7 linked regions of the Macaca mulatta genome follow. The protein of the gene in region 7 purifies or fractionates together with the protein of the main gene of each other region. This does not show direct contact. Links are inferred from orthologs where the notes say so. Each region holds a gene or a part of one and is shown on either strand. Other genes may lie near its edges.

Evidence for each region.
Region 1: the proteins of HDAC2 (region 7) and SIN3A purify together in Homo sapiens (affinity purification with western blotting; 24 studies listed by BioGRID and IntAct, with this or other methods). This does not show direct contact. The link is inferred for Macaca mulatta from reciprocal best matches to the Homo sapiens genes HDAC2 and SIN3A.
Region 2: the proteins of HDAC2 (region 7) and DDX17 purify together in Homo sapiens (affinity purification with western blotting; 3 studies listed by BioGRID, with this or other methods). This does not show direct contact. The link is inferred for Macaca mulatta from reciprocal best matches to the Homo sapiens genes HDAC2 and DDX17.
Region 3: the proteins of HDAC2 (region 7) and RELA purify together in Homo sapiens (affinity purification with western blotting; 8 studies listed by BioGRID). This does not show direct contact. The link is inferred for Macaca mulatta from reciprocal best matches to the Homo sapiens genes HDAC2 and RELA.
Region 4: the proteins of HDAC2 (region 7) and BCL11A purify together in Homo sapiens (affinity purification with mass spectrometry; 4 studies listed by BioGRID and IntAct, with this or other methods). This does not show direct contact. The link is inferred for Macaca mulatta from reciprocal best matches to the Homo sapiens genes HDAC2 and BCL11A.
Region 5: the proteins of HDAC2 (region 7) and EED purify together in Homo sapiens (affinity purification with mass spectrometry; 5 studies listed by BioGRID and IntAct, with this or other methods). This does not show direct contact. The link is inferred for Macaca mulatta from reciprocal best matches to the Homo sapiens genes HDAC2 and EED.
Region 6: the proteins of HDAC2 (region 7) and BRMS1 purify together in Homo sapiens (co-immunoprecipitation; 4 studies listed by BioGRID and IntAct, with this or other methods). This does not show direct contact. The link is inferred for Macaca mulatta from reciprocal best matches to the Homo sapiens genes HDAC2 and BRMS1.

Annotation. Positions count from the first base shown.
Region 1 is NC_133412.1:53,492,524-53,497,113, forward strand, and holds the start of SIN3A (paired amphipathic helix protein Sin3a), read right to left. Parts: upstream 2,928-4,590; 5' UTR 2,695-2,927; exon of another isoform or gene 2,632-2,694; intron 1-2,631. UniProt on the Homo sapiens protein: Acts as a transcriptional repressor. Corepressor for REST. Interacts with MXI1 to repress MYC responsive genes and antagonize MYC oncogenic activities. Also interacts with MXD1-MAX heterodimers to repress transcription by tethering SIN3A to DNA.
Region 2 is NC_133415.1:13,035,316-13,039,381, reverse strand, and holds part of DDX17 (probable ATP-dependent RNA helicase DDX17 precursor), read right to left. Parts: intron 3,102-4,066; coding exon 3,002-3,101; intron 2,187-3,001; coding exon 2,053-2,186; intron 1,752-2,052; coding exon 1,686-1,751; intron 1-1,685. UniProt on the Homo sapiens protein: As an RNA helicase, unwinds RNA and alters RNA structures through ATP binding and hydrolysis.
Region 3 is NC_133419.1:8,726,735-8,731,427, reverse strand, and holds the start of RELA (transcription factor p65), read right to left. Parts: upstream 3,149-4,693; 5' UTR 2,820-3,148; coding exon 2,758-2,819; exon of another isoform or gene 2,511-2,757; intron 2,286-2,510; exon of another isoform or gene 2,173-2,285; coding exon of another isoform or gene 2,166-2,172; exon of another isoform or gene 2,140-2,165; intron 1,693-2,139; exon of another isoform or gene 1,551-1,692; coding exon of another isoform or gene 1,524-1,550; intron 1,466-1,523; coding exon 1,282-1,465; intron 1,214-1,281; coding exon of another isoform or gene 1,181-1,213; coding exon 1,032-1,180; intron 1-1,031. UniProt on the Homo sapiens protein: NF-kappa-B is a pleiotropic transcription factor present in almost all cell types and is the endpoint of a series of signal transduction events that are initiated by a vast array of stimuli related to many biological processes such as inflammation, immunity, differentiation, cell growth, tumorigenesis and apoptosis.
Region 4 is NC_133418.1:64,324,366-64,328,431, reverse strand, and holds part of BCL11A (BCL11 transcription factor A), read right to left. Parts: intron 2,468-4,066; coding exon 2,366-2,467; intron 1-2,365. UniProt on the Homo sapiens protein: Transcription factor. Associated with the BAF SWI/SNF chromatin remodeling complex. Binds to the 5'-TGACCA-3' sequence motif in regulatory regions of target genes, including a distal promoter of the HBG1 hemoglobin subunit gamma-1 gene.
Region 5 is NC_133419.1:86,850,522-86,854,587, forward strand, and holds part of EED (polycomb protein EED), read left to right. Parts: intron 1-600; coding exon 601-666; intron 667-2,098; coding exon 2,099-2,224; intron 2,225-3,226; coding exon 3,227-3,308; intron 3,309-4,066. UniProt on the Homo sapiens protein: Polycomb group (PcG) protein. Component of the PRC2/EED-EZH2 complex, which methylates 'Lys-9' and 'Lys-27' of histone H3, leading to transcriptional repression of the affected target gene.
Region 6 is NC_133419.1:8,082,880-8,086,124, reverse strand, and holds part of BRMS1 (breast cancer metastasis-suppressor 1), read right to left. Parts: intron 3,151-3,245; 5' UTR 3,144-3,150; coding exon 3,005-3,143; intron 1,991-3,004; coding exon 1,900-1,990; intron 1,700-1,899; coding exon 1,572-1,699; intron 1,413-1,571; coding exon 1,333-1,412; intron 1,237-1,332; coding exon 1,140-1,236; intron 578-1,139; coding exon 485-577; intron 1-484. UniProt on the Homo sapiens protein: Transcriptional repressor. Down-regulates transcription activation by NF-kappa-B by promoting the deacetylation of RELA at 'Lys-310'. Promotes HDAC1 binding to promoter regions.
Region 7 is NC_133409.1:19,012,643-19,016,708, forward strand, and holds part of HDAC2 (histone deacetylase 2), read right to left. Parts: intron 2,462-4,066; coding exon 2,321-2,461; intron 1,788-2,320; coding exon 1,679-1,787; intron 726-1,678; coding exon 595-725; intron 1-594. UniProt on the Homo sapiens protein: Histone deacetylase that catalyzes the deacetylation of lysine residues on the N-terminal part of the core histones (H2A, H2B, H3 and H4).

The sequences.
Region 1 (4,590 bases), on a different chromosome or scaffold from region 7:
ACATCTGCCATGCACAGCTCTCCAGTGTCTTGTCTGCTTACACTGAAGATGTAAAAAGAATTATACTTTGCCAGGAATCTTGTCAAATTACTACACACCTCCTTCCTTAAAAAAGAAAAAAAGTCTTTCTCTGTATGTAAATTATTAAAACCCTCTTAATTACGAAGTGCCAATCTTTCTAAGCTATTTATCTCTGAGCAACATTATAGTATATAAAATAATTATCTGGAGATTATGAAGCATTTATGAAACCGCTCCTAATACAGCAAAACCAAGTTCTTACTTGAATCCTTAAAGACTCTTCTGTGTTCCCCAGTATACAGCACTGCAAATCATGGGAACTACTATATGTAGACCAAATTTTCCTCAGTGGTCAATAGTTCTCCACTATCTGTTTATGGCATCAGGAAAAAAACACCTGGATTTTTTGTCTCCCCATCAATTCTATTACAGCCATCATTAGCTAAACTAAAATGCTGTTGCTTTTGCAACTTCCTTGGCAGACAAGATAGAACCTACCCTTTTCACATAAACACAGCACAGGGCACCACTCAGGCCCTACTAACCAAAGCACAAATCTAGAATTTCACTTCAGATAATTAACTAATTATCTAACAATATCTAATGTCAGATAATTAGACATTTAAACCAATGTCTAAATTCAGGCTCATTTAGACATTACTGCATAAATAAACATTGGTTCCATGTTTATTTTTCTCATGAAAAATGTGAAAAATATTGAAATAATTTCTCTCAATAGGAAAAGATAATGTATCAAGTGAAAGCAAAAACCTCATCTAATGTGGTTCTGCTATAGGTTAGATTTGAAATGTCCTAAGGCAACTCTCCAATGCAGGCTGGAGAGCAACGCTACAGAAGTCACATACAGAAGGCTACCCTGATCCACAACTTCACCCTACTCTGAAATATAAAGGGCAAGAACACTGTACTATGTATACTATAAATAGAAAGTGGTCTAGATGATCGAACATAATTACATAAAACCAGAAAGAAAAGACTTCTCACCTATAGTTACCTCAATAGCAAATTCTTTGGGAAACCAAATTTTTTCTGTTTGTTGAGACGGAATTTCGCTCCTGTCGCCCAGGCTACAGTGCAACGGCCCGATCTCGGCTCACTGCAACCTCGCCTCCCGGGTTCAAGTGATTTCTCCTGCCTCAGCCTCCCCAGTAGCTGGGATTACAGACTCTTGCCACCATGCCCAGCTAATTTTTGTATTTTTAGTAGAAATGGGGTTTCGCCATGTAAGCCTGGCTGGTCTCGAACTCCTGACCTCAAGCGATCGGCCCGCCTCAGCCTTCCAAAGTGCTGGGATTACAGACATGAGCCACCGCACCCGGCCAGGAAACTAAGTTTATATAGTAGAACCATCTGCACAATGAAAGCATTCAAAACTACAAGCGTCAGAGATATCAGAATATTTTATTCAAAGTCTGAATTTTTCTTAAAAAAAAAAAAAACCTATTTTATAAACAGACCAGTTTTGAGATTAAAATGTAAATCCCAACTTTCCTGTTATAAATCTCAGCCTTGTAAAGAGGAGGAGCTTCCACTGCCTTTTCAAGGCTAACTTGGTTAAAGTCCTAACGCACCGAAACAGACGCCAAGTCTACTACCCACCACCCATTGGCTCAAAGGAAGCCCCGCCCCATACAGCCACGGTAACTGAACATCGAGGGAACCCCAGAAAGGTTTTCTCTCCGCCACATTTCTAGTCTCTGATGACTCCCTGCCCCTCCCCGACCATCACCACCGCGGAAACAGGGTTCCAGCACCAGCCACACACGCTCCTACAAGAGGACCTTAGGCACTTCGCCCCAATAGATACAACCAGGAGGGTGGTGGGGGTGACCATGCTCCCACTCTCTCAGCTGCACGGTGCCAGACACGCTGCATGGAGCAAACAGAGAAAGCAGCTCCGGCATAGGGCCCTTGTGCCCCAGGCAGAAGGCATGACCGAGCCACAAGAGTAAGTCCTGACACCTCCGCAGCTCTCAGTCGGCGGGAGCCCCTCCCTCCCCACGGAGACATAAGGCGGGGCAGACCTAGGCGGCGAGACTCCCAGCCAGACCCGACAGCGGGCTTTCCCTAGCACCGCCTCATTGCCAAGGAGGCGGAAACCCAGGGCCGGGGTGGGAGGCGGGGGACGGCCAAGGGGAGTGGCATCACGGATCAGTACGGCCCCTCCGGCCAACCGGATCCCGAGAAGGCGGAGAAACTCAGACTTCACGCCCCCTCCCTGCCGCGCCCTGAATCTACACGCGGGAGACCCCCCTACCCGTCCCCGACCCCAGCAGGCAAGAGCGCGGCCGCCAGCCCGAGGCCCCGCCCACCCCAGGAGGAGGAGAGGGGGTGGTCGGCCGCAAACAGCACTCAGCGAGAAGCCGGCCCCGCCCCTTTCTCCACAATCGCACGCGCGCGCCGGCCCCGCCTCTGAGCGGCGGCGCGAGAGCCCGCCCCCCTCCGCGCGCACCGGGACTACGCTCTCCTCCCCCTCCCGCGAGGAGAGCTACCCTGCTCCGCCCCCCACCCCCCTCACACAGCCACACACCTCCCGCCCGTCTGCTCTACGGGAAGCCGAGGAGGTCAGCCCCCCCTAAAAATACACACCCTCGAGTCCGGCGTTACCCGCCACTAGGCTCCCGCCCGGCCCCCGGCCCAGCGTGCTCTCACCGCAAAGCTGCTTCGGCCGCTCGTCACTGCGTGTCCCTCTCGGCGTGAGCCGCGAGCTCAGCAGGGAGGCCCTGAGAACGGCGCGGGGCACAGGCCCGCCGAAGCGGACTGCCAGCTACCTCTCCGCTAACCAAGCGGTCACAGGCCCCGGTGCCCAGACTGGGAAGGAGGGAGGGAGGGAGGGAGGGAAACTCCGAGGGGGGAAGGGGAGGGGGGAAGATGGAGAAACCGTCTCCGCCGCCTCTACCGCCGCGGCCGCTTCTCTGTTACCCGGGAAATCCCGCCCACTCCCCCGACCCCGCCCCGCAGGGGGAAGACTCAGCTTCGTTCCAACACAGGACGCAATACCCGCCCGTCAAAGACTGAGCCAATCACCGAGCCCTGCCTTATGACTTCCCGCCCCTTCCCCCTCGACTGGGAGGGGAGAGGGAGCCGCTCACCTTCTCCACGCCCCTATTGGCGGGGAGCGTCCCTAACTCAACCCCGCCTATTGGAGACAGACTGCTGAAGCCCACCCCCGAGCCACAACGCTATTGGAGGAAGCGGGGAAGCTCTTCCTGTCTCATTGGAGGACACCACATAACCCGCCCCGCAGCGTCTCAGCCACAGGCCTAACAAGTTGGCTCCCGCCTCCGCCGGTCATCGCATTGGAAGGCTACCCCTGGCTCTCCCACCGCCCCAGTAAGGTAAGTAACCGATGTGGGGTAAAATGTCTGTAAGTGAAACAGGCTCCGCCTACTGCACTGCCGGGCCAGGCCCCGCCCCAAGAGTTGGATTGGCTATCTTGGCACTGGTAGGACCCTCCATTGGCCAGGGCGCCCGTCTAGGAAGGAACTTAATTCCGCTCTGCGCGAGGAGGCTGAACCTTAGCAGTCCTTTTGTGGAATGTTTACACTAGAGACTGAAGCTCGGAGTTCCAGGGCCCGAGACAGGAGGGGGAGCGGAGCTCATCAGCGGAGACTCCACATCCTAGGATTTGAAGGAAAGGCAGTCCACCCCGGCGGACTCTCTTACAAAAAAAATGAGAATGCGAACTCATCCTCCCTATCCAGTTATCTTTGCAGTTTACATTCTACACACTGCGTCCTTGTAAACACAAATATCCGGAGCAGCTGGCAACTCCTTTCAGTCAAGTACAGTACAGAACTAAGGTCTGGAGACCTAGGCAGAGAAATAACCCATAACCCCAAGGGTTGCCAGCGCACTCCCTAGAGCTGAATGTGCCTAAGAGGGCGGAGATAACCAAAAGAGAGGCGGGCCCTAACAGCCACCGCCCTGGCAAGCCTCCGGAAGGCGGAGCGTGAGGCACAAGGTACTCACGATCTCCCGGGTGGATCTGTAGGCATCCTCAGAACTGAGAAAGAAGAGAAAAGGACCAAAACAGGCCACAGCATAAATTAACCTTTGGAACATGCCACACTCAGAGAAGGGATAAAACTTCCGTAGTTGGGGACATAACGGCTGTTCACCTTCTCCTTAGCCAGGAGTGTTAATAGTCCCTGTGCCCTCTCTGTGTAGGTAACAGTGCCTCGAACGCACAGTGAGACAAAATGCTTTCAATTCCTAGTTTGCTTTTATTTATTCACCAAATAGGGCGTGGGCCTGACGCTGACCTTACTTTGGGGGGCGCTCTCTCGGCGCCAGGAGGGGACGGGATTACGTTGTTACCGCTCTCCCGAAGAAGTAGAATCCTCCTCCCGGAGAGCTAAGATCCCAAGGGACAGGCCCAGGGAACCCACTCCTAGGTCTAACTCTGTCCTCCCTCTGCAATCCAGCGGAAACGGCCAGGAACGAGCTCTGGCAGCAGGTGGGCCTCACTCCAACGATGGCTTCGAGCCGCGAAACCACAGCAGCGAATTGCGAACTCCAAGGGTAGCCGACAGGTGGAAGCAGCCT
Region 2 (4,066 bases), on a different chromosome or scaffold from region 7:
TGTATTTTTCTAGAGATGGGGTTTCCCCATGTTGGCCAGGCTAGTCTCGAATTCCTGACCTCACGTGATCTGCCCACTTTGGCCTCCCAAAGTGCTGGGATTACAGGTGTGAGCCATTGTGCCTGGCCTAAAATTTGAAATTTTGGATGGTCAACCTGACTTAAACTAGAAGTCACAAAACTGGCAGAAGGACACATTCCTGACCTCTAGTTTAAGCACTTCACCAGGTAGATAAGGCAAAAACAATGAAAATTTACATGTAATCTGACAAAACTGTGTACAATCTGGCCAAATAATACAAAAATCAAGGTATCATATACCAAATTATGAAACTTGCTTTGTATACTGATCCATTAGATATTAATTAATAATGCTGTCAGACATATACTATGTATTATATAAAGTACTGCATTATTTCTTTTTGTGAATATCTTGAGACATACTGTACATGTTCATAAATACATACGACAAATGCAAGCTTAATTCTTAAAGTTAAAAAGTAGGCTGGGCGTGGTGGCTCACACCTGTAATCCCATTACTTTGGGAGGCCGAGGCAGGATCACCTGAAGTCAGGAGTTCGAGACCAGTCTGGCCAACACGGTGAAACCCCGTCTCTACTAAAAAAACAAAAATTAGCCGCGTGTGGTGGCACGTGCCTGTAATCCCAGCTACTTGGGAAGCTGAGACAGGATAATCGCTTGAACCTGGGAGGCAGAGGTTGCAATGAGCTGAGATTGTGCCAACAATGTACTCCAGCGTGGGCAACCAAGAGCAAAACTCCGTCTCAAAAGAAAGAAAAAAAAAAGTACACATTCAATGCCAGGCGTGGTGGCTCCCAGCACCCTGGGGAGGCCGAGGCAGGTAGATCACCTGAAGTCAACAGTTCCAGACCAGCCTGGCCAACATGGCGAAACCCTATCTCTACTAAAAATACAAACATTAGCCGGGTGTGGTGGTGTACACTGTAATCCCAGCTACTCAGGAGGCTGAGGCAGGAGAATGGCTTAAACCTGGGAGGCAGAGGTTGCAGTGAGCTGAGATCTTGCCACTGTACTACAGAGTGAGACTATGTCGCCCCCCAAAAAAAAAAAAAAAAAAAAAAAAGCTGGATGCAGTGGCTCATGCCCATAATTCCAGCAATTTGGGAGGCTGAGGCAGGCTGATCACCTGAGGTCAGGAGTTTGAGACCAGCCTGACCAACATGGAGAAACCCATCTCTAGTAAAAATACAAAATTAGCTGGGCATGGTGGCACATGCCAGTAATCCCAGCTACTCAGGAGGCTGAGGCAGGAGAATCGCTTGAACCCAGGAGGTGGAGGTTGCGGTGAGCCAAGATCACGCCATTGCACTCCAACTGGGCAACAAGAGCGAAACTCCAAACAAACAAACAAACAAACAAACAAACAACCACCCAGAAAACACTTGACTTTACTGCACAGTAAGTGCCCATATAGCATGCATAGTTTCTTTAGGAGTAAGACTTTGGTTCAAATGTAAGCTCAGCTATTCAACTGCTGAGTGATCTTGGGTAAGTCATTTAACTGCAAGTAAGATGAGAATGAAACCATTTCCATGTATGGAGGGTGTGGTGAAGAGTACAAATGGATAATGTAAACCACCATGCCTAAATAGTTGCTAAATTGTAGTTTTTCTTAGAATTACAAAGAAACTGAAACACACTTACGATTGGGCCATCTCCCCTTTCCAAGTATGGCTGGTGGTTAATATGAACAATCGCAGGCAGGAGATACTGTGGAGGAGGGAAAGAATGACAACCTTATACTTAGAAGTACAATCTTACTAAGATACTTAATACTATCTTAGTAATTACTGAATTAATGCATAAATAGGAAAGTGAAAAACAGAACTCACCATTGCCACATACAGCAGGCGATGCAAATTTGAACATAAAATGCTTTCATATATTTAATACCTAAAATAGTACCTACACTATCTGAACAGCATTTCTATGAAGAACTGAGAACACATGATAATCAGAATAGCAAAATAAGTTACCACAATATCAAGGATCTTCTCTTGCTCATACATACCGCCAACGTCTTCCCAGAGCCAGTCTGAGCAATGCCCACCATATCCCGGCCACTAAGAGCCAACGGAAATCCCTGGCACTGAATTGGAGTTGGTTCTGTAAAGTGCTGATCCATCAACACATCCATTACATATTCTGTAAGAGAATTTTATTTTACACATTTTATTGTGTTTAAGGGCACAAACCAAAAGAGTTTTTAAAAAAACTTTTAAGCTCACTAAAGTAAGATTTACCCAGCTTCATCTCTCCAGTGTTTTCTTTATCTACTGGATCTCCGACTAGCTTACCGTAAAGCTGCTCTGGGCCAGGCTAGGTGGCTCACGCTTGTAATCCTAGCACTTTGGGAGGCTGAGGCCAGTGGAGGTCAGGAGTTGACCAGCCTGGTCAACATGGTGAAACCCTGTCTCTCCTAAAAATACAAAAATTAGCCAGGAGTGGTGGCGGGCGCTTGTAAACCCAGCTACTCGGGAAGGTGAAGCAGAATCGCATGAACCCAGGAGGCGGAGGAGGCAGTGAGCTGAGATCACGCCACTGCACTTCAAACTGGGTGACAAAGTTGTGACTCCGTTTAAAAAAAAAAAAAAGCTGCTATAATAGTCTACCTCTCTCAGAAATTTGAAAAAACGTTACCCTAAAGCATCTAACAGGACATGGGAACATGGTAGTCATTTATTGTTTACCAAATTCACATCATGTCCAGCTAGAAAGCAATTTCATTCTGCTGTTTTCTAAAAGGCAGAGGGCAAAACCCTAGAAAAAGATAAAAACCTTAAAAAAAAAATTATCAGTCTAAATACAAGAACAAAAGAACTGATGACCATAAAACCATAAAACAATCTCTTGTCCTTTCAACAAAACCCCAAGCCTGGCTCAAAGAGTTTAACCTAATACCCATGTCTCCCATTCAACCCAATTTAACAAATTAAGGCTCTAGACTGAAGAATACTTACGTGGGAAGTTAGCATGATGGAAGGCAAACACAGGTTTAGGACAAACATCTCCCCCTCTCACTGTAATCTCTTTCTTTCGGCGTAGCTCATCAACCTCATACTATGGAAAAAAAATTAAATAACACAAGTTAGTAAACTAGTTACTCTAAACATTCAGAATTTATGTTCCAAGCTAGCTGAGCAATTATCCAGTCCACAGCTACGATGGCAAATGTTTAATAGTTTACATGGTACTTTTATGTGTATCACTTTAATTTTGCAAGTTAATTAACGACGTAGGTGATTAAGAGTTCCACTTTCTTTTTTTTTTGAGACGGAGTCTGGCACTGCCCCCCAGGCTGGAGTGCAGTGGCGCAATCTCGGCTCATTGCAAGCTCCGCCTCCTGGGTTCACGCCATTCTCCTGCCTCAGCCTCCGGAGTAGCTGGGACTACAGGCGCCCGCCACCGTGCCTGGCTAATTTTTTGTATTTTTAGTAGAGACGGGGTTTCACCGTGGTCTCGATCTCCTGACCTTGTGATCCGCCCGCCTCGGCCTCTCAAAGTGCTGGGATTACAGGCGTGAGCCACCACGCCCGGCCAAGAGTTCCACTTTCTACAGGAGAAAACAGGTAAGTAACTTGCCCAAGGTCAGAACGAGGAGGAAAAAAGTGGAACTTGGACCCAAGTACTCTTTCCATTACACTTTCTTCTGAAAGAGTAACCATTTCATGTGTAGAGTCCAAAAAACAATGATAATGAGGTACAAAAATAGACAATGTTGGCTGGGCACGGTGGCTCCCACCTATAATCCCAGCACTTTGGAAGGCTGAGGTGGGTGGATCACTTGAGGTCAGGAGTTTGAGACCAGCCTGGCCAACATGGTGAAACCCCGCCTCTACTGAAAAAAAACAAAAAAATAAAAATAAAATTAGACAGGCGTGGGGGCACGCGTCTGTAATCCCAGCTACTCGGGAGGCTAAGGCAGGGGAATTGCTTGAACCTGGGAGGCAGAGGTTGCAGCAAGCCAAGATCATGCCACAGCACTCTAGCCTGTGGAACACAGCGAGACTTCATCTCAAAAAAAA
Region 3 (4,693 bases), on a different chromosome or scaffold from region 7:
TTTTATTTTCAGGACTGAAATTGTTACTCTGACAGCACCTTGTTTATTTATCTGTGTATTTATTTATTTTTAAGAGACAGGGTGTTGGGCCGGGTGCGGTGGCTCACACCTGTAATCCCAGCACTTTGGGAGGCTGAGACAGGCAGATCATGAGGTAAGGAGATTGAGAACATCCTGAGTAACATGGTGAAACCCCTTCTCTACTAAAAAAAAAAACGCAAAAAAATTAGCTGGGCGTGGTGGCGGGCACCTGTAGTCCCAGCTACTTGGGAAGCTGAGGCAGGAGAGTGGTCTAAACCCGGCAGATAGAGGTTGCAGGGAGCTGAGATTGCGCCACTGCACTCCAGCCTGGGGACAGAGCAAGACTCCGTCTCAAAAAAAAAAAAAAAACACGACAAGGTGTCGCTCTGCTACCCAAGTGTCGTGGTGTAATCATAGCTTGCCATAGCGGTGACCTCCTGGGCTCAGGTGATCCTCCCACATCAGCCTCCCAAGTAGCTGGGACTATAGGCACAAGTCACCATACCCAGCTAATTTCTTATTTTTTTGTAGAGATAGGGTCTCACTATGTTGCCTTGGTTAGTCTTGAACTCCCAGGCTCAAGAGATCTTCCTGCCTTGGCCTCCGGAAGTGCTAGAATTATAAGCATGAGCCACTATGCCTGGCCTGTATATTTTTTTAAGGCCTGTTTCTGTCAACTGCAATGTCACCTCCAGGGGAGAGTGTTGGTTCAGTGGTTTTCTTTCTCAAACAAGAGACATGACTCCAAGGGACTTGTCCTTCCAGCTACAGGGGTCAGGGATTCAGAAGTGATTAGGGACCCATCCATATCCCTTGGAGCTCTTATCTGTGCTAGAGTAGAGGTACAAATAGATCATTTCAAGACAAAGAGAGTTTACTTGCAGAGCTGAGTCAGAGCAAGAAGTAAGCAACTCTGCCCTGTGTCCAGAAAGGAGTAACACTGTAGCGGCTACTTCATAGCCCGCCTCCTGTTCCCTCATGCTGGGCCTCCTAGCCTGCAGGGAGCTCACCTGTGGATGCAGCGGTCCGGGCAGAGCTCAGCCTCATAGAAGCCATCCCGGCAGTCCTTTCCTACAAGCTCGTGGGGGTGAGGCCGGTGAGGAGGGTCCTTGGTGACTAGGGAGATGCGTACTGTCCCTGGTCCTGTGTAGCCATTGATCTGTCCAAAGTACAGAGGCCCAGACATCCAAACCTGACTCCCAAACACAGAGGGCTGGGGTTCCACAGTCCCTTCCCCGCACACCCTGGTGCAGTGCTGACCTTGATGGTGGGGTGGGTCTTGGTGGTATCTGTGCTCCTCTCGCCTGGGATGCTGCCCGCGGAGCGCCCCTCGCACTTGTAGCGGAAGCGCATGCCCCGCTGCTTGGGCTGCTCAATGATCTCCACATAAGGGCCAGAGGCCTGGGCTGGCTCTGCCAGGGGACACCGCAGGCCCATTAGACAGCTGCCCCCGCTGCCCTACCCCAGGGAACACCTCCCGGACTGCTGCGGGGGCCACTTACCTGCCGGGAAGATGAGGGGGAACAGTTCTGAAAGGGGAGGGAGATCAGGGTCAGCACACACCCACTGCCCATCCTCACAAGGGAGTATCTGCTCTCCACAGAGAAGAGAAGCCAGGCTCCCTCCCAGGGGAACTGAGTAAGGACCTGCTTCCTAGAACCTGCGGTGAAACTAAGGAGTGGAGGAAAGGAACCAGAAACACCTGCTTCTTGAGGGAAAACGGGGTAAGGAATCCTTCTCCCGAGGGAAGCCGAATCAGGGCCTGTTGTACTTTCATAAGGAAAACTGAGGGAGGGCACGCCCCACCTCCATCCAGAGAGGAAACTGAATCAGATGCGTTCTCCCCTAATAGGGAAACGAAGCCAGAGCTGCCCCCATGGACGGTGTGGAGGGAAACTGAGTCAAGGCTCCCTCTGCTCCCCCACCCAGGGAGGATGCTGAGTCAAGGGCCCCCCTCCACCCAGAGGGGAAACTGAGTCAGACCCCTCCCCGCCTGCCCCGCCCCGCGCCACCATCCGGCAGGCCGACCGCTCCCTGCGCAGCGCCAGTCGGCGCAGGAAGGGGCGGAAAGCGGCGCGGGGCCTCCCGCCACAGCCGGGGCGGTCCCGGCGCGGCCACCCCGCGGGGTCAGAGGGCGACCTCACCGTCCATGGCCGGGGTCCCGGGGGCGGGGCCGGGGTCGCAGCTGGGCCCGCGGCGTGCACTACAGCCGAGCCATTCGCCAGAGGCGGAAATGCGCCGCGCGCGCCCGCCGTCGCGTCACTGCCCGGAATCCGGCCGCGCCTGCGCGCTGCCCCGCCGCCGCCCGGCGAAGGGGCCGGGAGCAAGTGCGCGCCGCGCGGAGGACGAAGAGGCCGCGCGCACAGCCGCTGCCGGGGGCCGGGGCCAAGTGCGCGCGTCGCCGGAGACGAAGAGGCTGGTGTGCCCGGTGGTTCGGCTAGCTCCCGGGTCCCGGCCCCGCCTGGAGGGCGGGTCCGCCGATTACTCACTTTGTTTTTAGGGGATTTCAGGGCCCCCTCCCACCGATCGGCGGAGTTTGGTGATGTCACTCTGGGCCGGGTCTGGAGCAAAGCCCGGGCTACGGGGCTGCGGCCGCCCGCCCCGCGCAGGGAAAGGCCCAGTCGGGCCTTCTGCTCCGCAGAGGCCGGGTGGTTGAACTCCACGCCGGTTTCCTCATCGCTAAAGGTGCCTTTCGGTGGTGACTGTCTCAGAAGCACGTTAAAATGTCCAACCTACCCCACTCTAGATGCGGCTGTAGGGGAAGGGGAGCGGCCGGACCTCCCCCTCTGACAGTGCATCAGGGAGCTTTGCGGAGCCTGCAGCCCGGATGGGACAACTTGAGGCCCTCCCGCTGGCGAGCTGGCCGAGAGCTCGTCCCTCTCCAGCTAAAGCGCCAGCTTACTATGCAGCCAAACTGCCGGCCCTCAGCGGCTGCAGGAGCAGGGGGTCCCCAGGGGTAAACCCCGGAGCTTCGTCTCTGAAGCCTGGCGCTTGTATCTCAGAAGGTCCGGAACCCACAGGGGACACTCGAATCAGCAGGGCCACAACCCCCAACCCCACTGCCCCCGCCTGTGTTTGCCCTGGACCTCCAGCTAGGGCTGACCACTAATTCTGTCATGTGACCCCACAGTGCGGGTAGCTCCCCCAAGACCAAGCCCAAGGCGCGTCCTTGTGGGGGCTGGGGCTGGCGCAGCCCCACCTCAGGCCTCATCCCCGAAGGAGGATGCTCCAGGGGGCGGAGTCTTCTCCAGATGGAGAAAGACTTATTTTCTCTGAATTCGTCTTGAATTAGGAAATCATGTGGGAATTGGAAAAGACTGGAAATTCTGACTTGTTTCCCAGGCTCTGAAGAAACAGGAAGAGAAAAGTGAAAATAGAGTTAGCACCCCGCCCACTCATTTCAGTTTCTCCAGTGGCTGGCCCTGATTAGAAAAGTGTTTACTTTTGGCAGGGGGCGGGGAAGGCCGACTTCAGTTGAGCGAATGGATGACATACAATTATCATTAAACCTTGCATGGATCCTCTTCTTAAAATTCATGTATATTTATAACTTTTAAATTAATACCATAAACACCCGTGTACCCATTGCAAAACTTAAGGGACCACCACCGTGCAGAATTCTGCGTTGTATTGTATTGTATTGTATGTATTTATTTTTTGAGACAGGCTCGCGCTCTGTCGCCCAGGCTGGAGTGTAGTGGCACAGTCTTGGCTCACTGCAGCCTCTACCACCTAGGATCAAGCAATCCTCCCACTTCAGCCTCCTGCATAGCTGGGACTATGGGAGCACACCACCATGCCTGGCTAAGTTTTTGTATTTTTTTGTAGAGAAGTGGTTTAACCTTGTTGTCTAGGCTGTCCTTGAACTCCTGAGCTCAACTTTCCTTCCACCTTGGCCTCACAAAGTGCTGGGATTACAGGAATGAGTCACCACGCTGGGCCAGAATTCTGTATTTTCTTAAATTAATTAATTAATTATAACTAGAGATGGGTCTTGCTGTGTTGCCCAGGCTGGTCTCAAACTCCTGGGCTCAAGCGATACTCACACCTCAGCCTCCCAAAGTGGAATTACAGGCATGAGCCACCACGCCTGGGCCAGAATTCTGTATTAAAAAAAAAAAAATTACTCATATCTGCATGCCTACACAATATATTGTTTGGTTTTCCTTAGTTTTGAACTTTTTTTTTTTGAGATGAAGTCTCGCTCTGTCGTCCAGGCTGGAGTGCAGTGGCATTCAGCTCACTGCAACCTCCACCTCCCGGGTTCAAGTGATTCTCCTCCCTCAGCCTCCCAAGTAGCTGGGATTTAAAGGGGCCAACCACCACTCCTGGCTAATTTTTGTATTTTTTTAGTAGAGACGGGGTTCTACCATGTTGGCCAGGCTGGTCTCGAACTCCTGACCTCAGCCTCGGCCTCCCAAAGTGCTGGGATTACAGGCTTGAGCCACCGCGCCCGGCCAGTTTTGAACTTTTATGTAGAGGGCATCATATGATTTGTTGTCCTTTGTTACTTGCTTTTTTCACTCAACATATTACTATGATTCATCTGTTTCACAGTTAATTCACTTTTCACTGCTGTATACTGTTTTGTTGTGTAAATATACCACTGTTTGTTTATCTAGTCATCCTGAAGACGGACATTTTTATTTTCATTTTTTTCAGATGGAGTTTC
Region 4 (4,066 bases), on a different chromosome or scaffold from region 7:
CAATAAACTGACACCTGGCCCCTAAGCATAGGAACTTGAGGCACCAAAAGGGTTAAAATCAGCTATTAGCCCACCTACTGACTTTTATCTTATTTCATTTTACTTTATAGGAAGGAATGACCCCCATTTCTAGTATGTCACCAATGTGAAAAAGTCATGTGATCTAAGGCTCAAGATTCAGAAGAACAAGGAGGCCTGAGACTAGAGCCCTAGCTCTATTATTCACCAGCTTGTAACTCTGGGATAGTCATTTGATTTCTCTGAGTCTTAGAATTCCTATCTGTAAAATGAGCATAAAAACAGTACCTGTAAAGAATTGTTGGGAGGTTCAAATGACAGAAGTATATAAAAGCCCTCTGTAAACTATCAGGTCCAACATGAATGTGAATTTTCATTACTACCAGGGGTGATTAATTACTGAGGGTAATGACTAACCACATTACACACCCCGCACGGCTTCCAGAGGAAGGTCCCAGTCCAGGCCTTAACCCAGGCCAAAAGGAGGCTGTAGTGAAAGAGCAGGGGTGACTGGCACACAGCAGGGCGGCCAAAGGGAAGTGCTATGAGCTCTAGAAGCCGGGGGCAGCAGGTTAATGCCGCCAAGTGGAATGGGCATCAGATTTGTTCTAGAGCTTTCTGGACCCCCACAACCCATTTCCACATACCTTGTTCTGGTCACTCCTAAACTGGTCCTGCCGGCAGGGGCACCAGTAAACTATGTACCCTCCCTTTGTGGGAAGGTGGGAGAGGACAGGAGTTCCTTATCAAGCTCAGACTTTCCTACCAGTCAAATCAAACTCCCAGCCCTCAGGAAGACCAGGCTGAAGACAGAGAACTATGTTTCCCTGGCCAGCAGCCCTTGGCCTCTCAACTCCACCCTCCTCTCAACTGCTCAACTGCCTTCTTTCCCTTCCCTCCAAAAGTGGCTCCGTTCCCACAGCCCCATGCAGGCCCCAGATGCCCCCAGCAACAGGAGAGCTCTCCCCACCCAGCCAGCATGCAGGGACTAGAAACCGTTGAGTCCAACCCCCTAAACCCTCTGCAATCTGTGACCTAACCCAGGCTTAGGCCCAGCTTGGGGAAGGGGGGCAGATGAGGTGCTTTTAACCCCTGAACCACCCAGCCCTCAGGACCTGAGGGCTTATGAAATTCACACAATAACTCTTTGTTACCTAGGATTACCTAGGAGTTAACAAAAATAAACAACTGGCTTTGACTCTGGTCTCAGGGTGCATGCCCTGCTCTTCAGATACCATTTACAAGGTGGATAAGTGTCATTTCCCTCCCGTCTAAAAACAGTCCCCCTTAGAGCCTTAACTCTGGCATCTTGCTCTTTGTTATTCTCTTTCCATGACCCTTTTCCTTTTCTTTTCTTTTCTTTCCACAGCAGGTTATTTTTCATTTACTTTCAAATAAAAATTAGAGGTCACACTTCTTTTCTTCTTGAACCTACTTTTTTGTGTTTAGGGCGGAATCACTGCCCACCCCCCAACCCTTTAGCCATGCATGATTCATACCATGTCTTCCTACACAGAGAAGCAAACTGTATTACTTTCTAAAACAGTATCTTTCAGAAAACATTTGTATAAATGGACAAATTTAAGTTTCATAAAATGGTCCTTACTATAAAAGCTCGCTTGAACAAGTAAATGGTGGTGGTGGTGATGGTGGTGGTAGTGGTGGTGGTGGCGGTGGTGGTGGTGGTGATGGTGGTGATGGTACTGGTGGTGATGGTGATGGTGGTGGTGGTGGTGGTGGTGGTGATGGTGGTGGTAGTGGTGGTGGTGGTGATAGTAGAACCTTCACATTTTAACTAAAATGATGTGCATTTTCCTCTAAAACTAGGAGAAAAATAAGTCAAAATTATGTGTGATCATGTATATATAAAATATACTATGTACAAATATACATGTAAATACATAAGGAATATGTATTAGAATAACTCTGGAATAACCCTAAACTGACTGCTTTTGATTCTGGCCTTGGCTAAAGATGTGTGCATTGGACTATACCCGAAGTCCTAAATGAGGCCACAGGAGTGAATGTCCAGTAATAAAATGGGCTCCAAAGGCACAGACATATTCAATCACTAGCCATGGAGCCAGACAAGACCCTGGGGAGAAGACCCACAGGGATTAGCTACTTTCAGCTCCCAGCCTCCAGTGAGGAAAGAAAAAGGGGAGGCAAGAAGTCCCTCTGGGGCTGAGTGGAGTGGGGAGCGTCTGCCAAGTGAGTAATGGAATAATACATATGACAATCTATTTTGGAAGTAACTCCGTTCAGTACTTAAAAAGTAAGGGCAATTTCCAGAAACTGTCATCTCTATACACATGGACATTTGTAGAAGAAATAAGGCTCAACTTACAAATACCCTGCGGGGCATATTCTGCACTCATCCCGGGCGTGGGGATTAGAGCTCCATGTGCAGAACGAGGGGAGGAGAGGCCCCTCCAGTGCAGAAGTTTATCTGTGAAAGAAACCCAAAATCAAGCACTACAGCTACAAACAACGTGCATCATAAACCACAGGATATCACATTTCAATTCCATTAAAACAGATTAACATCATTACAACAGCCTTGCAGATAGTTAACAGGCCCAAGGCCTGAAACAAAAGAAGAGTGGAGAGTTATTTCCCACAGTTTCTGTTTTGTTTTCAATTTCGGTCTTTTTGACAAAAGGGAAAGGGTTTGTTTTAGGAATGGGGAGAGGTGGTCTTTGGTTCATTTGCTTGTTTATTTGTTGTTTGATTATTGTTTTGTGGAAAGAGATGGGTAAACAGCAAGGGGAAAACTGGTAATATTGTGGGTAGCCTGGAAACATGGGGGTGGGCGTTATCTGCAAGGCTGGTTTACATGCATACATTAACTTTACTTTATAGACAAACCCAAGCAAAAAACAAAATGCTGATAGGAAATGAGTAGATTTGTGAACCGTTTTTTATGGGACAGAGTCCCATTCTGCTTTCTCTGTCCCTCTGCCCCCCTCTTCCCATGCTATATTTATGATAGAGCCTTCAGTGACAGGGGAACCTTGGGCATTTCTGGACTGACCTGGGCCATATGCTAGAGTCCTGTCAACGGGAAACCCTGTACAGATGTGGCTTCTCACAATACAAAGCAATGGAAGATAAAGATTAGACTTCTGGGGTCCAAATAACTTTGGCCATTACATGACAAGGAAAGAACCAGCATTCCAATAATACCAGCACCCAGAAACCCTGGCCCACCTTCACCATTTTATTGCACTTTGTTGCACTCTGGTGAAGACAAGTGACTTTTCACACTAATAAAATGAATCTGATAGTCAACAAAACATTTCTAGCACTGAGATTTTTTTGAGAAGAGGAAAATTTGGTTTGTGCAGTCTGGGGATTTTATGGTTTATGTGGTAAGTGCCTAGCTTTTCCAAGTCCTCCTCTAGCTAACTAACCATGTAGTTGTCCATCTTGAGACAGACTGGAGGATAGATGGTGCAGGAAACGCTCTGTGTGTTCTAGAGGTTTGGAGTTCGTGATGATTGGGGAGGGCAGGAGAGAAGAAAAACAGACTTTGATGGTGAATAAACAGTATGTTTTCCATTAGCTTAATATTAAGAGCACTTAGAAGTGTTGTTGTTGTACTCTAGGATAGCAGGTCTCAAGTGTAAAATACATCCTGTTCTCCTTATATAGAGCACACTGCCAAGCACAGCCAAGGCAGTTGGGACAAGATTTCCTTTCGTGAGGAGCCTGGTGGGTAACGATGGTGTGCTGCTGAGAAGGCTCTTACACAGACAGCATAGGTCTGCTGTTACCAGGCCTGCAGAGGGAGGCCCTGGTGGAAGCACCACCTAGCCTGAGACTGTCTACAGAGACATTTCATCCTCTCTGACCTAAAACAAAATAAACAACCGCAAAGTGAACCAACACAAGCAGGAAGACCGGACTTAACAAACAAGTATGTCTACATTTGACTGTTTATGTCAACTGAATTGAGAGTGTGGTGTAAAATTACTACAGATTTTGTCATGGCATTTTTCAATGAGAAATCTGAGAATCCATTTTTGCACTTGTTTTTGCCTCAGCC
Region 5 (4,066 bases), on a different chromosome or scaffold from region 7:
TTTGTATTTTTAGGAGAGACAGGGTTTCAGCACGTTGGCCAGGACGGTCTTGATCTCTTGACCTCGTGATCCGCCCGCCTTGGCCTCCCAAAGTGCTGGGATTACAGGCATGAGCCACCACGCCCGGCCTAATTTTTATTTTTTAATAGAGATGGGGTTTTGCTGTATCGCCTAGGCTGGTCTCAAACTCCTGGGCTCAAGCGATCCACCTGTCTCAGCCTCCCACAGTGCTGGCATTAAGTGAGCCACTGTGCCTGGTCTCCAAAAACTTTTTAATTATGAATTAAGGGATGATAAACCACAACTACTTTGGGGTTTTTAACTTTATTCACTTTGAAGAGTTGGTGCAATCAAATGGATGAAATATAAGTTTAAAAGTTTGGAAATCAAAACCATTATTACTGGAGTATTTAATATACTCTGTGTATTATGTAAAACATTCAGCTTTATAATGGCTTCTTTAAGCTCACAGGAGGTATTTTAAAGCAGTAGTTTCTATAGTATATTTAAAATATGGTTGTGATTAAAATATGTTTAAAAGTTGGAGAGAGTATGTTTCTATACTTGAGATGAAATTTACTGTATTTTTGTTTTCTTTAGGTTACCTTGTACGAATGTCATTCACAAGGAGAAATCCGGTTGTTGCAATCTTACGTGGATGCTGATGTATCCTTTCCTGGGTTTTTAATATCTTTGGTCAAAGGAATTTATTTTCTTTTTTTTTCCCCCCCGAGACGGAGTCTCACTCTGTCGCCCAGGCTGGAGTGCAGTGGCCAGATCTCAGCTCACTGCAAGCTCCACCTCCCAGGTTTACACCATTCTCCTGCCTCAGCCTCCCGAGTAGCTGGGACTACAGGCACCTGCCACCTCGCCCGGCTAGTTTTTTGTATTTTTTTAGTAGAGACGGGGTTTCACCGTGTTAGCCAGGATGGTCTCGATCTCCTGACCTCGTGATCCGCCCGTCTCGGCCTCCCAAAGTGCTGGGATTACAGGCTTGAGCCACCGCGCCCGGCAGGAATTTATTTTCAATAAGTGCACCAAAACTTTTATAAATTAATCAATTCCCTAAAGTTAGTGTCCTTTCTTAACCTATTTCTTCACTATCACCCAAGAGAATCCAGGTATCTAGTTTTCCTGACCCTTAGAAATCCATTGTGGTATGTGTCAACTCAGCTAGGCAAAAAGAAAAAGAAGAAAATCCATTGTGGGATTGATGTGCTGGTTGGGTGCAGATGTCTAGAGAGATAGGAGCGTTAGAAATCTAGTAATAGAAAATGTTAGCAAAGACTGGTTAAAACCTCCTTTTTCTTTGACCTTGTCTAGAATATATCATTTCATTGTAGTTATAATGATGAACTTGGGTTGTGACTGGTAGTCATTCCAAGTATTTGATCAGTGAAGCCTAGGAAGAAAAAAAAAGTTTAGGAAAAATAAAATATATGCATATTATATATATATAATATATAAAAAATAAAATAGGAAATAACATATTGCAAAACAGGTTCATAAAGAAACAGAAAAATTTGAAAAGCCCAAGAGTTAGAGCAGTAAAAGCTAAATAATAGGATATTTCTTCCAGATCAATTTGAAAAACCTAGCAAACAAGGCAAGGCAAGGACATTCAGTTTTCTCTGAAAGATACTAAAATGTGACCTGTTGTTATATTGAGAATATCTCACAAAGAAAGAAGTGGAAAACTGAATTGTTCTTATTTAGATATTTATAGACGTATGGGGATAGAGCAGAGGTTAAACTACAGCTTGCAGGTTGGCCACCTGTTCTTGTAAAGTTTTGTTGGAACACAACCGTGCCCATTCGTTTGTATATTGTCTGCAGTTATTTTGGTACTACAACTACAGAGTTGAGTAGTTGTACAAGCAGCTAAAGAGTAAACAAAATTGAGTGGAGAGACTAATTTTGTTTGATCATTTGTTATGGATTTTAGACCTCAAATTACCATTGTATATATTTGGTTGTATAAGGAAAATTGAAAACTTTTGTGTCAAAACCTTTAGCAGTTCTTTGTAAATTTCTATTATAATTATTGACATGTTTCTTTTTCAAAAACATTGTGTTTCTTAACTGTGGAATTTCTTAGGCTGATGAAAACTTTTACACTTGTGCATGGACCTACGATAGCAATACAAGCCATCCTCTGCTGGCTGTAGCTGGATCTAGAGGCATAATTAGGATAATTAATCCTATAACAATGCAGTGTATAAAGGTGGGTTTTTCTGGTTGAATTGTAGATCTGCTTCTTTTGAATCCACAACTGTAAAAGCTTGTAATGTTAAATTTAAAACTAATGGTATGAATGTAACATTTCTGATTTGATTTGTACTTTTCTTACTGCTCTCTTTAGATGAATCTTTTGAGACCTTTGTCACATTTGGGTAATGTAAATTGAGGAATAAGTGGAGAAATGTTAATATTTGTAGTGTTTTCTTTTTAAATAATTTACCTCCTTCACCCTTGTCTTGGTTTGCCTTGAGAGGCTCTAAATGAACAATAAGAGCGAGTCCATTTTCCAAGACACCTAAACTGGAGGGGGGTTGTCAAAGGGACTTTGTAAGGAACATAAAGATGAAGCCTAGGAAGTTGATAAGAAGAGAAGTTTTTCAAATCACTTTCATCAGCTGTTTTTAACTGTGGGGACACATCAGAATCACCTGAGGATCTTTTAAACCCTACACATATTGGAGCCTCCGCTAATCCGATCAGAATATCTGCAGGTGGAGTTTTGAGCATCTTTTTTTTTTCTGCTTTTTTTTGTTGTTGTTGTTCTTAGACAGTGTCTCACTCCTTTGCCCGGGCTGGAATGTAGTGGCATGATTATAGCTCACTGCAGCCCGTCTCCTGGGCTCAAGTGATCCTCCTGCCTCAGCCTCTCAAGTAGCTGGGGCCAATTTTTAGTTTTTTTTGTGTGTGTGTATGAAGACAGAGTCTTGCTACATTGCCTTGGCTGGTCCTGAACTCCTGACCTCAAGCGATTCTGCCTTAGCTTTCCAAAGTGCTTGGATTAAAGACATGAGCCACCCACTGTGCCTGGGCCCCCTTTTTTTTTTTTTTTTCCTTTTCACTTCAAGTTTGTTGGTTGATTTTGTATGCAGCCAAGGTTGAGAACCACTACTTTAAGTGAAACTATTTTTACGTTCTCTAAAGATTTATGAAAAAGAAAGTACTGATTTTGAGATGGGAAACTTGAAATGTTTTAAATTTATTGTAGCACTATGTTGGCCATGGAAATGCTATCAATGAGCTGAAATTTCACCCAAGAGATCCAAATCTTCTCCTGTCAGTAAGTAAAGGTAAGAGAAGCAAATGTTTCTTTAGTCTGTGCAGTTTGTCAGCATTAAGATGGAGTCACTAATGTCAAGAGAACCTTGACAAATAGGAAAAGCCATGAGAAGAGAGTTCACATGGTTGTATGTCTGATCATAATAACTCACAAAAAAACACAGCCACAACCTTGCACAAAGGCCATCACAACCTTACACAGAAAATACTGCCAGTAAGTGCCTTTCCACTCTCAGACTGGCATCACCCTTGTTACTGATTTTGTGGCCAATCTTATTTCAAAACAATTATGTAATCCTTCTCATTTTTTTTCTTTAAAAACCTCTGTCTTTCCTTTACCTCTTGGAAAACACACATAATTTACTTTGGCATGTACATTCTCATTGCAGTGCTTTATTTCCATATAAACATCTTTGATTTTAGAGAGCCTGTTACTTAGGTTAACAAGTCCTGTTTTATTTCAAGTCTAGTATCTGATAGTTATTTTTCCTGATCTCTCTCCTCCCACTCTGTACCCTCCAGTAGGCCCCAGTGTGTGGACAGATAGTGTTCTAAGGGGGAAAAAGCCAAATTAAAAAAATTTTTACAACAGTAAATTTTAGTAGGAAAATCCCAGGCTATGTTAGCATATCCAAATCATTCTGTCCAATCGTGTAATAATAAATACTACATATTAAAATTCATATTGCTTTTTTGTTTTTTAGAAAAGCTTTTGTTTTATAAAGGATTCCTTATAGAATTTCTTAAAAATGCTAAGTTTTCCAGGATA
Region 6 (3,245 bases), on a different chromosome or scaffold from region 7:
ACTCAGGCTCGAGTGCAGTGGCACATCATGGCTCGCTGCAGCCTTGATCTCTCAGGCTCAAGCAATTCTCTTGCCTCAGCCTTCAGAGTAGCTGGGACTATAGATGCACACCGCCACACCTGGCTAATTTTTGCTATTTTTTCTAGAGACGGGTTTCACCATGTTGCCCAAGGTGGTCTCGAAATGAACTCCTGGGCTCAAGCAATCTACCTGCCTTGGCCTCCCAAAGTGCTGGGACTATAGATGTGAGCCACTGAGCCTAGCCCGTTTCTGTTTTCCTAGGGTCCACATAGCCCAGAGAGACCCAAGACCCTGTAAGAAATTGCTGACAGCTGGATTTGCCTGGACATGGTCACATGACACCAAGCAACCACAAGTGCATCTAGTGCGACTGTCCTCCATGTCCCCTCCAAACCTCTCCCCCAGGTCTGGAGGTGACCCTAACATCCTGCCACCTTTTAGGCCACCTTGGGTGAAAGGATACCAGAAACCAGAGGTGCCTTCTTCCTCTTGCTGGGCGGCAGGGAGTCCCAAGACCTGGAGCTGCCTCTGGCGTGCAGTTTGTCGTCCCACCATTCTGCCCCCAGACCCAGAGTTAGAACTGGGGTGCTGGCCCACAGGACACTCTCTCTTCTGTAGCCTCTGCCCCCACCATGGGCCAGCCTGGCCTCATATCCCCTGCCCCATCACAACCCTGGGCTTGGGGTAGGAAGCCCCTTAGGGCTGTTCAGGTCCTGCCCGCACAGCTGCGCAACCCCGGGAAGAGGCCGCTGCACTTCTGTGAGCCTCATCTGTTTAGTGGACAGTGGGATGATGACAATTCCTGCCACCCCAGGACTCCACATGAACACAGGTACTATGAACGTGGAGGGGACTAGAGCTATTGCATGGGACTGCATGTCACACTGATACCTGTTTTGGAAAGAGCAGGGGCAGAAGAGGGCAGGGAGACCCACTCTGCCCGAGCCCCTACTGTGTGCCAGGCCCTTTCCAGGCCTGGTTTCCTTCAGTCCTCACACTGACCCCAAGAGGCAGGTCCTCTGACTGTCCCCTTGACTTCAGGACATCTGAAGTCTAGAAAGGGGTGGGCGTTGACAGAGCCAAGCCCAGGGCCGGGGTGCCCGGGCTCTCGCGCTCACCAGAGCTGAGGTCCAGGCTCTGGCGGTCCTCCTCCAGCCTCTGGATCCGCTCCTGCAGCTCCCCCTGCAGTGTGTCATAGAGCAGCAGCTTCTCACTCTGGAAGAGGGGGCAATAGCTCAGCAGGACGGATGGGGAGAGCTCACTTCAGGCCTTGCGCCCCGCCTTGTCCCCAGTGTGCCCAATCAGGCCCACCTCCAGGTGCTGTTTGGCTCCCTGCAGCTCACATTCGTACTTATTCCTGATCACATCCAGACAGAACCCCTTGTAGATCCCTGCAGAGAAAGGAAGGAGGGGCCCTGCTTGGCTGGGGAGCCTGGTGCCCACACAGGAGGGCTGAAAGCAAAGGGTGAGGCCAGGGAGGAACAAGAGAGGAAGGGGACAGGGTGCCATGGGTTCTGGGAGGGGAAAAAGGCACAGAACCACCCACAGACCTGCCACCTGAATGCGAATCTTGAGGCTCTGCTGCAGCCCCCCAAGGGGCTCCGTGTATTCAGGGGCTCTCTCAGCCCCCACTTCCTCCAGCCGCAACCGCAGCTGACTCAGTCGTTCCCTGAACAACCTGGGTGGTAAAAAAGGCAGCCGTGCACCCATTTGCTCACCTATTGCTCTTGGGCAAACACGTACCCAGCACCCATTCCACAGCAAGCCCTGTGTTAGGCGTGCACTTCCTGGGCACCAACCACGCCTGCCCAGTACCAGGCCCACCACCTCCTCATCCCAGCTCCTCGCAGACCCAGCCCAAGGTGTCCCCATGCTCACTTCTCCTTTAGCTCCGAGAACTGCTTTTCTAGGTCCAGCATCTCACTGACACACTCGCTGCGGCGCCGCTCATAGTCCTCATCGTCCATCTCTGGGACAAGACGCCAGTAAGGGCTAGCTCTGGGGAGGGGTGGTGGGTACCCACATATGTGCATGTGCGTCCTTCATGTGTGTGTGTGTGCATGCGTCCTTGTGTGAAGGGGCTGTGTGTTTGTATGCATGCTTGTGTGTAGGGGCTGTGTGTGTGTGTGTGTGTGCTTGTGTGTAGGGGCTGTGTGTGCGCACGTGCTTGTGTGTAGGGGCTGTGTGTGTGCATGCGTGCTCGTGTGTAGGGGCTGTGTGTGCATGTGTGCTCGTGTGTAGGGGCTGTGTGTGCATGTGTGCTCGTGTGTAGGGGCTGTGTGTGCATGTGTGCTCGTGTGTAGGGGCTGTGTGTGCATGTGTGCTCGTGTGTAGGGGCTGTGTGTGCATGTGTGCTCGTGTGTAGGGGCTGTGTGTGTGTATGCGTGCTTGTGTGTAGGGGCTGTGTGTGTGTGCACGTGTGCTCGTGTGTAGGGGCTGTGTGTGTGCATGTGTGCTCGTGTGTAGGGGCTATGTGTGTGTGTGTGCATGCTCGTGTGAAGGGGCTGTGTGCGTGTGTGCTCGTGTGTAGAGGCTGTGTGTGTGTGTGGGTGCTCGTGTGTAGAGGCTGTGTGTGTGCGCATGCGTGCTTGTGTGAAGGGGCTGTGTGTGTGTGCGTGCTTGTGTGTAGAGGCTCTGTGTGTGTGCGTGCTTGTGTGTAGAGGCTCTGTATGTGTGCATGCTTGTGTGTAGAAGCTGTGTGTGTGCGTGCGTGCTTGTGTGTAGGGGCTGTGTGTGCATGTGCATGTGCTTGTGTGTAGGGGCTGTGTGTGCGTGTGCATGTGCTTGTGTGCAGGGGCTGTGTGTAGGTGCTTGTGTGAAGGGGCTGTGTGTGCATGTGCATGCTTGTGTGTAGAAGCTGTGTGTGTGTGCTTGTGGCAGAGGCTGTGTGTGAGTATGCTTGTGTCTAGGGGCTGTATGTGCATGTATGTGCATGCTTGTGCGTGGGGGCTGTGTGTGTGTGTGTGTTTGTGTAGGGGCTCACCGGAGCTCTCCTCTTCTGACTCTGTCTGGCTGCCGCTCCGCTCCTCCTCACTCTCTTCCTCCTCCCCATTCATCTCAGTGGCGGAATCACCCTCTGCTTCCATCTCTTCTGTGTCTTTGCTTGGAGGCTGGATGGGCATCCGGACTCTGGGAGAAGGAATGGAGCTGTCACTTATGGCTGCCCACAGCTCAGAGGGGGAAAGAGGCAGCAGGAAGCTGAACCCAACCTGATCCCAGATGGG
Region 7 (4,066 bases):
TTGCTTTCAAGTATGAAGAAATGGCTCGAAAACACATAATAAAAATTGGGGGAATTTCTTTTTCTTTTAAAAATGCTGAAACTCTGAAGGAAAAAAGTGTGTTTTTCTAATGGGGATAGGAATAATATCATTACTTAAAAAGTAGCATTTTATTTCAGAGCTGAGAGGTGAAGTAGACCAAAAAAAGTACCAATACCAAATATGTTAAGACAGTCTATGCCCTACATGTACCATTATGCTACAATCTAACCATCATATTAAGTGTAATGAGAAGTTGCAAAATCAAACAGATGTTTAGTTATTTGGTTCACCCTACTTCAGATAAATGAGATGTCTTATTAATTGCCAAATATACTGAAGTGGCTAGCTTTTGATAACTTTCAATCATGTATGTATATCCAGCCATACAAACTGAAACTGCTGACACCCAAATCAGGTTTTGAGATCAGGAAGGTAAATCTCTGAAAGTGGCAAAAATGACAATAATAATAGTGTGCTCGTGAACATGACTTAACAGTGAAGTTCTTAGGCCACTAAAACCTTCAATTTGAAGTATCATTTTGACAAACTGGAAAAATAAAGGCATTATCTTACTAGAAATTCTCTTGTCTGGATCTTCTCCATCTTCATCTCCACTGTCTTCATGAACAGCATCTTCTGGAATAGCTTGCATCTGGACACCAGGTGCATGAGGTAACATGCGCAAATTTTCAAATAAACGCTGTCTAAATTACACACGCAAAGTTTATTAGACAAAATTCAATTTCTTTGCAGTTCTTACATGCAAGAGAAAATATTTAGCAAAAAATTTCATCTTTGGTCTAGCTAAGCCTATAAATTAAAAGGTCTCTCTCTGTTGCCCAGACTAGAGTGCAGTGGCAAGATCATAGCTCACTGCAGCCTCAAACTCCTCACTGTAGCCTCAAACTCCTGGCAATCCTCCTGCCTCAGCCTCTGCATTAGGACAACAACTGTACGCCACCATACCTGGCAAATTTTTAAATTTTTTGCAGACAAGGTCTCACTATACTGCCCAGGCTGGTCACAAACTCCTGGTCTAAAGCTATCCTCCCATCTTTGACTTCCAAAGCATTAAGGTTTATAAGCATGAGCCACCTTGACTGACCAAGGAGGCATTATTTTAGTCCCCCATTTCAATGAGGGGAAAACACAAGCACAAAGGCAGGTGAACTTATCAAACATCATACAGCTTGTTTGTGGTACAGAGGTGACTCAAACCCATGCTATGTACTATAATGTCTCTACTTTGCTTGTGGAGACAAAGCCTTAACAAAATGTTTCAGACAATGAAAATAACTTATAGTGTGCCTTGCAATTTTCAAATACTTTTCAACTAATAAAAAAATATTATTTCCATTAACTGAAGAAATTAACTGGCTGAACACGGTGGCTCATGCCGGTAAGCTCAGCACTTTTGAGGCAGAGGTGACAGGATCACATGAAGCCAGAAGTTCGAGACACCCATCCTGACAAAAAAATTTTAAATTAAAAAAAATAATAATAATAATAATCAGTAACTTAATGTTTCAAATCCTTTAGAAAGAAACAAGAGAAATGTCTAATAAAGTTAAAAGGACCCATCATACTTGGCCCTCTAAAGCATCCTAAATCTTTGTCAAGATAAAATGTTTATCAAAACAATTCAACGATTTCTTACTTTATCTTTTCCATATATTCTGGAGTGTTCTGGTTTGTCATGTTTGAAGGACTAATATGCAGTTTGAAGTCTGGTCCAAAATACTCAAAGTAATCATTATACGGCAACTCTATTGAAAACAATAAAATAGAGTTACACATTACAAGCTGAGTTTTCACAAAAATCCATGCACAGAATCCAGATTTAGGTGGTGAAATAGTTCCAAAGAAAAGGTTTAAAAGTGAACATAAAGTGAATGTTCTCCTATTTATAAAGAATGGCACTTACTCTAATCATCCATCCATCCATTTTGATATACAGTCTCTGACTTTCAACGGCTTGACTTACAGTTTTCTGGCTTTTTTGTCACAACTTCAATGTCTTGTATTCAATAAATTACATGAGATATTCAACATTTTTTTTTAACAAAACAGGCTCAGTATTAGATTATTTTGTCCAACTGTAGCCTAACCTAACTGTTCTGAGCATGTTCAAAGTAGGCTGGGCTAAGTCATGTATGGTAGGTTAGGTGTGTTGTATCAATCTTCTACTTATCATACTTTCAACTTATGATGGGTTTATCAGGACCTAATTGCAACATAAGTGGAGGAGCATCTGTACTGACAGTTCATACAATAAAGATATCATAATAAGAACACTTACCATTGGGAATCTCACAATCAAGGGCAACTGCAGTCTCATATGTCCAACATCGAGCAACATTACGGATTGTGTATCCACCTCCACCAAGCATCAGTAATGGTAAGTTAAAAGTTTTTACAACTTCTACACATTTAGCATGACCTAAGACAAGAAGATTTGGGTAACAACAAAATCTGCATACTGCAACAGTTTGAAAAATAAATTTTAAAAAGATAGTAAGTGCAAATGTTATTCAACCAAAATGGTTTTCCAAATATTTAAAAAACAAATAAAAATGTAAAAAAGTTCGAGTCTAAAACTCCTTTCCAAACACGTTTCACACAATAATACATTAAAAAATTAAGATTAACTAGCTATTTAAAAGTTTTTAAACACTATTTTACACTTTTTAAAACACTTTTATTTAAACACTTTTTAAAAGTGTCCCTGATGGAAGTCAAGTACACAATTATATTAAGACTATAATATGAACATACACCTATTTTATTAACACAGAAAGATGTTCATGTAGGGTTAACATGGTGAAATTAATCAGGTTACAATAAAACATTATGTATAATCTAAATTAATTTTTATTACCACTTCTTTCCTTATGGACATGTGTAAAATAATTACGGAAAGCTAAACAACATAGTTTAACCCTGAGTTAACTTCAGGTAGTGGTACTGAGTAATTTTCATAACTTAAGAGTTAAAAATATCTATTACTATTTTCAAAAACTTCTTCAACTTCTATGTGTAAAAATTTAAATATAATATTAATAGTAAACCTAACATAAAAGTAAATATTTTCTGTGGATACATGTCTTAATTCAATAATCATTTATAAGTTACCAGTAAGTTCTCCTTGAGGAATATTACCAGTTAGGCACATAACTCAATCTTTAAAGAAGAAAATCGTTTTTCTATATTTCTTTCCAATTCAGAGTTAATTTTACAAAGTTTATCCGTTCTCTTCATGTAACTGTATACTGTGGGAATTTTCATTAAGCATTCTTCAATAGTTGCCCTATGTGATTTACATAATTCTAGCACCCAATTTTTATTACTGCTACTAGAAAAGTTTCTTATAACAGATAAAAACCATTTGGATATTTTTAAAGACAAAACAAACATACAAAAAGTTAACTTACAGGCTTCCAAGTCAAGACAGCTGGCTAAACAAAGAGATGTTTACTTTTCCTTCATTCCAAAACTCGACAAAGATGACTGGAAAGGGATTTTTTTAAAGGCCAAAATTCAGAAAAATGAAGAATGGGAGAGAATACAAGAGCAAGAACATAGCTGATGGGAGCAAGGAGATGGACAAGAGATAACTAACTTCAGCAGATCTGAAAAAGCTGAATCAGGCCGGGCGCGGTGGCTCACGCCTGTAATCCCAGCACTTTGGGAGGCCGAGGCGGGCAGATCACAAGGTCAGGAGATCGAGACCACGGTGAAACCCCGTCTGTACTAAAAATACAAAAAATTAGCCGGGCGCGGTGGCGGGCGCCTGTAGTCCCAGCTACTCAGGAGGCTGAGGCAGGAGAATGGCGTAAACCCAGGAGGCGGAGCTTGCAGTGAGCCGAGATCGCGCCACTGCACTCCAGCCTGGGCGACAGAGCGAGACTCCGTCTCAAAAAAAAAAAAAAAAAAAAGAAAAAGCTGAATCAAAGCTGGCAGTAGAGAAACTCAGAATGAAGTTTAAGACTTGGGAATTACAAATATCCTTACATGCTTTATACAACTGAAACACTATTAGCTGAAA